Canis lupus familiaris: one gene and its partner. The protein of the gene in region 2 purifies or fractionates together with the protein of the main gene of each other region. This does not show direct contact. Links are inferred from orthologs where the notes say so. Each region holds a gene or a part of one and is shown on either strand. Other genes may lie near its edges.

Region 1 (3,817 bases), on a different chromosome or scaffold from region 2:
CCTACCCATACCCCTGGTGGGAAAAGAGGCAATAATGAAGGGGTCGGACCACAACCTGAAGTGCAGAGGAAGGCAGAAGGCCCTAAGTGACATACAGGAGTGAGCAGAGGGTCCAAAACACAAAAGTTTCATGCCTTTCAAATTAATATGAAATAGCAGAAAACCAACAAACTACTCTGCTCTTTTGGCTCCATCATGAACAAGGAAATGAGGATGCTACTGATTAGCGAGGAGGGGAAAAAGTATGTTAGAAAGAAACCTGAGGCAGTGAAAATGAAAACATGAGGAGAATATTCTGGGGTGAGAGCGGAATCCCGTCTGTGTGAAATAAAGGGGCAGACATTTGTACTGGGAGCATATGTGGGCATAGGCCCACATAGAAAGTTCTTGAAGGAGACATACCTATGGAGAGTGAGACTGGGGTGGAAATAGGACAGGAAGGAGAGAAGAGGACCTTCACCTTCCTATTTTATATACCTCAGTATTATTTTAATGTTTAATCACAGATTTGTATTATTCCTAGAATACAAGCACATTGACAGCCAGCATATTTTTGAGGGGTATTCTTTTTGGTATTCAAATGGTGAGGTGGGGATGACAAGTCACACAGCACTGATCAAGCCACACAGGGCCTTCAACAAACTCAGAGCCTACTGCACCATGTCCAGTCTCCCCAGGGGGCTGTCAACTTTGACTATTCCCAAAGATTCTGTTCCATCTAAGAGTGACTGCCCCCTCCTCCACAGTCCTGGAGCTGGGTCCTCTGTGCCAACTAGATTTCAGGGAGGCACAGCCTTTAACTGATACATGATGCCAACAGTATATGGCAAAAGCCCTGAAATCACTGAGGTATGAGATCATCTGGAAATTTGGACTACTTCAATTTCACAGGTGAAGGGAGGCTCTCAACTGAGCTACTTCGTTAAATCTCTCAAACCACTCTTAGTAAATAGTAACGATTATAGCTCTAAAGAGACAAGAGGAAGATCTCCTACCCCTGTCCTCCCCCTGGCTCCTCCCCACCCCCACCCCACCCCTGCCACCGATTACCTGCAGTACAGATGTGGCAGGACGAGTGCGGGGCCCAAGCAATGCCATTGACACACGCTCGGTGGTTGTTCAACCTGGCAACAGGTGTGCAGGGAACTCGGACATCCAGAATCACTACCTGCAGAAATAACAAGTAAAAGGCCCAAGAACCTCAGGGTATAACAGGAAAACAAACGAGACATTACAAGAAAAAAAGATCCTAAAGTATAACATATTCATTTGTGGATTTAAAGACCATTAGAGGGATCCCTGGGTGGCGCAGCGGTTTGGCGCCTGCCTTTGGCCCAGGGCGCGATCCTGGAGACCCGGGATCGAATCCCACATCGGGCTCCCGGTGCATGGAGCCTGCTTCTCCCTCTGCCTGTGTCTCTGCCTCTCTCTCTCTCTCTCTCTCTCTCTCTCTCTGTGACTATCATAAATAAATAAAAATTAAAAAAAAAAAATAAAGACCATTAGAGGCAGAGGGTCTTGGTCCCAAAAGCAGTCTTAGGATTGAGGAAAAAGAAAACAAAAACAGGCAGTTTATAGTCTATATGTGGGATCCCTGGGTGGCGCAGCGGTTTAGCGCCTGCCTTTGGCCCAGGGCGCGATCCTGGAGACCCGGGATCGAATCCCACGTCGGGCTCCCGGTGCATGGAGCCTACTTCTCCCTCTGCCTATGTCTCTGCCTCTCTCTCTCTCTCTCTCTCTCTCTCTGTGTGACTATCATAAATAAATAAAAATTTTAAAAATATATATATAGTCTATATGTTAAGCAACATAAGGCCTTCAGACTGATAAGGAAGGAGTGAAGCAGGAGTAGGTAACATGAATTTGGATAATCCACCAAGTCCTATTGGGTGCGTGTACTATGGATTCCATGCGAGCTTGCTGGACAGAGTGAGAGGCCTCTCCCCACAACCCCCAAAGTAGAAACTGAAATGTAAGAAGTCTGAGGTACCAGCTTCACCAAAAGTTAATCACTGCATCATCTCCACCCACACTTCACTGCTTCTATTAAGTTAACAGGCAATGAAGAGTTGTCATTTCTATGTCTGTTTGCTAAAGTTGGAACAATCTGTCCAGACTAGAGAAGGGGAAAACTGCCTATTTCTTTACTCAGCACCGTAAGCACATAATGATTTGGTTTACTTTTTAGACATTGATTTTCATGGCTCCACCTCCAATGCTCCAAGTATTAAAAGTTCTTAACACACAGTCCTTGTTTTAGATCAGGCTTTCTCAATCTTAGCACTATTGACATTTTGGGTCTGATAATTCTTTTCTAAAGGTTTTATTAATTTATTTGATATAGAGAGAGATAGAGAGAGAGCACACAAGCAGGGGGAAGGAGAAGCAGACTCCCAAGTGAACAAGGAGCCCCATGTGGGGCTGGGATCATGACTTGAGCCAAAGGCAGACAGACGCTTAACAGACTGAGCCACCTAGGCACCCCAGGTCTGATAATTCTTTGCGGGGGGTGGGGGGTGGGTGGGGAAGGGATGATTCTTGTATGTACTGCAGGATGTTTAGCAGTACCCCTGGCATCTGCCCACAAGACACCGGTAGCACTGCGCCCTGCCCACAAATTAGGGCAATGTCCCCAGACATTTCCAAAAATCCAGAGAGAAAACTGCCACCAGTGGAGAACCACTCTATACTAAGCTATACTAAGTAATGCCACAGTTAGGTGGCCAGGCCTATGTCAGCCTGAAGCAGGGTACTCACCTCCATTCCATCCATGGCCATAGTGGCCAGGTAGTTAGGGTCCTGCTTGTTCCAGCAGAGGCGAAGCAGTGGGTGATGCTGTGGGTCTTCATAAATGATGGTGCTGTGTTCTAGATGGCGGAGGTCAAACATCCGCACCGAGCCATCAGCGCCCACAGAGGCAAACATGTCCCTGCCACCCCCAGCCCGACTAAATGCAATATCATAGACCTGTTGGTGAATAAGAAGCTTCTGTCAGTTCAGATCCGTGACCTTCCTTTCCTGGAGCAGGGAACTCTACTATCCCTAGTCCACCTAAACCCCCTCACAGTATCTGTGAGTCCTGGCGCCTAAGAGCTCTAACATCAGTGACTTTCCAAAGGACGAAGATCATTTTGCTATACAAACGAGATGGCTTCTTCCTGCATTCCTGCTTTCTGAGCCTTTTGCCTCCAACCCTTGTGATAAGACAAAGAGCATATATCCTGCTGAGTAGCAGGGCACAAGTCAGAGCAAGTATTCTGCATGCTGTCAGCCAGTGGGTATCTTCTGCAACACTATAGAATTGAGACATTCATTTCCTGGGCCTTTGTGGCTTTCATTTGTGAGTGATCAGAGACAGATCCGTGACCAAGTTAAGGCCACTAATTTGAGAGGCGGGAGCAGCCCTCCTGTGGCCACTTAATAGCAGTCAAGCTGGTTCTGCTGTGAAACCCAGACCTGAGACTCGTTTTCAAGAAAGAAGCAATAGCAGTTTTGAATCATGGGAGACTCAGATGTTCCTGTCTTCACAAAGAGGTTTAGTATCACTCTCTTGTCCCTAGGACATGTTCTATTTCTTCACCTAGTTGGTCTGTATTCATAAGTGAATCAATTTAGGTTTTGAATCATTGTTTTTTGCATTTATTACTTGCTGCAAACATTCCACACCACTAATATCTATGAGACAACACAGGCAGAGAGCTTCAGAGAAAGAAAGGGATGAAGAGAATCAGACAAAGCCAGACCAGAGTGGAGAAAGAGAAAAACGGAAAAACCAAAGCCAAGGATCTCCCGGGGTCAAGGATAGTAACAGCTGCTT
Region 2 (3,408 bases):
GGCCACGGCCTGACCTTCTAGAGGGCTGCTGACCCTTTAGAGTTCTGGAAAAATCCCTAATATGTTCCATAATTAAAAATCTATTGGATTTCCACATCAGGTGTCCCCGACAGCAAATTCTTAAATGTCACTTGCCGCCATATGAAAATAATCTTTGAGAAGTTCATAGATAAAGTTCTTCAAAAACTGGGGCCCCACCCCCCAACTTCCAGGAATCTTCTGTCGCTCTCTTCTTCTCCTTTCCAGTTTGGTGCAGAATGGGTTCGTGAGCTGTGTTTTTTGTTTACCGACGTTTTCTTTTTTTTTCCTTTTTCTTTTTTAAAATAAAAAGCATAGATTTCCCCCTCCTCAATCCCTTCTTTTTTAAAATGTCTTCTCTGCTCTAAGGTCCCCCCACCTCCTGGTTCAAGTTTTCTTGGTGTCCGTCCCTGCCCCTTGCTCCCTGCCCACCCTGCCCCATTGCATTGTTTGTGTGCCGCGTCTTCAGTATAAAAAGCTCGGCTCCCACCTCACCCCTCCACCCTCCTCCCTGCTGCCCCTCCTCCCTCCCCTCCCCTCCCCTCCCCTTCCAGTGTTTATATGTAAGGGTACTGGTTGACCTTGGCGGGGCTCAGTGGGTATCCAGTGTAGACGGTGGAGGCTGGAGAGGCGCTGATGTAGGTCTGGTGGGCAAACTGGGCTGGATACTGACTCGGGTGGATGGTGGGTGAGGGCAGGACCCGGGGGCCCATGCTCACGGGGACCTGGTGGACGATGCTGGCCGGGTAGGCAGTGTGCTGCACGGTGTGACGCGCTGAGCCTTGGGAGGCCACCAGGTGGGCCACGGTGCCGGTGGAGCCCAAGGCCGCGGGCGCCGTGTAGGTGTAGAGGTGGGGCTGGGCAGGGAGGTGGGCTGCTGCAGCAGCGGCGGCCAGGTGGGGGTGCACAGTGCCGTGGCTGGGGCTGTTGTGCGGGAAGGAGTACGGGGCCTGAGCCATCGTGGGAGTGATGTAGGCCTGCTGCCGGCGGTGGCTCCCGGCGCGCTCTGCGGTGATGTGCTGCTGAGCCTGGAGAAGGAGAAGCACCAGGAGAGGGCTGCATTGGGGGCCAGACACGTGGGAGGGGAGGAAAGGGAGGAAGAGGAGAGGTGAGGAAGGAGGGAGAAGGGTGAGGGAGGAGGGAGAGGAGGAGAAGAGAGAGAAGTAAGGAGGGGGAGGACAGTGAGGGGGTAAGGGGTAGGAGGGAGGAGGGGGAGGAGGGAAAGAGAGAAGTGAGAAGGGGTAAGAGAGGAAGGTGGGGTTGGGGGTGGGGGGAGGAGGGCCAGGGGAGTGGGAAGGAGGGGGAGGAGGGGGGGGGAGGAGGGGGAGGAGGGGGAGGGGAGGAGAGGAGGAGGCCAGAAGCCACAGGAGTGAGGGAAGATGCCTCCCCTATAGGCTGGGAAAGCAACATTAGCCTGGACTGAAGAAGGAACCCTGTCCCGAGCCCCCAGCTGGATGACACACAGATTAAGCCAGTTTGAGGAGGTAACAGGATGTCTCCAAACGGCCTACTGCAGCTATGAAGTGTCAGAGGAGCCACTCTTTGAGTGACAACTGCTTTCTCCCTCACTGTGAGATCTTGTTCTCTAAAGTCCTAGGCTCTTGGACACTTTGCTGTTTGAAGTTATATTGGTACAAATGAAAGAGCCCTCTCTTCCCGAGAACCAGAGTTGTGACGACACAGAGATGCGGTCTCAGTTTACCAAGTGCACCACTTCAGACGAGGGGTTTCTGAACATAAGCTCCCCCACTGACGTCCCCTCTATGGCTTCTGAGGAAACAGGCCCCTGAGTCCACTCTGCAATTCGGACCTGACGTAGACCCTTTACACACAGGCCAGCTCTACCGAGGAGACTCTGCCTTCATTTATAATTCTACCGAAAGGCCACCCACCTGCTCCAAATCCTCGCTTGCCCTGGGTTTGGGGTTCCCCGTGTGTGACCTGGCCTCCCTCATCACAAAGACCCACTAGCCCAACTCTGTCAGCCTGCCAGTACTCTGCTGGTGTCCTGGTCTGACGGGGCCAGGACACAGTGTTTTACCCACAGTGGGAAGAACTCAGAGGTCCCCGGCCCTGTGAGCCGGGGTGGGTGTGGGCCCACCTACAGCCACCCGCTGGGAAGTGGAGGCACGGAGGGGCCTCGGTGATGTGCGTGGTTTGCAGGCCGCTGAGGCCAGGTCAGGCGGCACTCACCTGGCTGAGATTGAGAGGCTGCTGCTGCTGGAAATGCGGTCCTGGCCGCTGCTGCCGGTAGGCGATGGCTCCGGACGAGCTCCCTGAAGAGTGACCGCTGGTGGAGGTCACGTTGCTGGAGGACTTGGACTTGTAGGACGAGTGCTGACTGGCGTTGACTGTGTGGGAAAGAATAAGGGGTCACAGATGGCTCAGAGGTCCCCCTGCTGCCCAGAAGACCCTGCCCCTAGGGGAAACAACAGTGGTCTCCTAGGAAGGAGTGTGTTCCCAAGACCAGCCAATCAAATTAGCCTCGTCTCCCCAGATCCAGCTAAGAGTCGGCTCTGACTCTGGACTGGCCACTGGGCTTTGGCTTGTCTCACTGATTGGGAGCAAGTCCCAGCTTGTTGGACTTAGAATTCCTGTCTGGTGACACTGAAAAGCACAAGGAGGCGCTAACGGAGGAAAGGAGGAAAGGTCTCTCTCTGTAGCTCTTCGTGCCCCATCCAGAGCTGCAGTGGGGTTGTCTGCTGCGATCCAGAGACACAGTGACACATAAGCAGAGTATGGATAATGGGGCCTCAGAAAAAGAACCACACATGTCCTGAGGAAAAAAATCACCCATGGCTGCAAGTGTAAAACGGGCAAGGCTGGGGTAGAGGATGCTAAGTATGAATGAGGCATACATCACAATGAGCAGGCCCTTGATGTAACTGTGTTGGATCAATTCCATTACAAATCCCAGGATGATGAAATCAAAGTCAAAGAGGAGATGGCTGGGGCCAGTCAGAGAGAACACCGATTAATTGCTCAGGGAGAGAAACATGAAGAGCAAAAGTTTGGGAAACCAGAAACTTGGGGAGGGGATGGGAGATTGGGGTGCACACTGAAGCCCAAGAGAAACCTCCCTGCCCTACAGGCAGCAGCTGTAGGAAAGAGAGAGCTGCCCCACTGGGGATGGAGGCAGTGAGTCCTAACAGAGACCCCAATCTGACCGTGCATTGGCACTTGAGGGTCCTCCCATCCCACCCACTAAATTAGAACCCCATGGCGGGGGGTGCTTGGGGACCTGAATTAGCAACACATGCCCCATGAGAGGAACCAGCCAGGCCCTGGTGTACGGAGCTGTGCAAAAGCCAAACCTGTAGAGGGTCTGGGTGGCTCAGTCGGTTAGGTGTCTGCCTTCAGCTCAGGTCATGATCTCAGGGTCCTGGAATC

What was found.
Region 1: the proteins of HIPK2 (region 2) and DCAF7 purify together in Homo sapiens (affinity purification with western blotting; 3 studies listed by BioGRID and IntAct, with this or other methods). This does not show direct contact. The link is inferred for Canis lupus familiaris from reciprocal best matches to the Homo sapiens genes HIPK2 and DCAF7.

What each region holds. Positions count from the first base shown.
Region 1 is NC_049230.1:15,339,707-15,343,523, forward strand, and holds part of DCAF7 (DDB1- and CUL4-associated factor 7), read right to left. Parts: intron 2,968-3,817; coding exon 2,758-2,967; intron 1,169-2,757; coding exon 1,051-1,168; intron 1-1,050. UniProt on the Homo sapiens protein: Involved in craniofacial development. Acts upstream of the EDN1 pathway and is required for formation of the upper jaw equivalent, the palatoquadrate. The activity required for EDN1 pathway function differs between the first and second arches.
Region 2 is NC_049237.1:9,022,749-9,026,156, reverse strand, and holds the end of HIPK2 (homeodomain-interacting protein kinase 2), read right to left. Parts: intron 2,370-3,408; coding exon 2,212-2,369; intron 1,047-2,211; coding exon 576-1,046; downstream 1-575.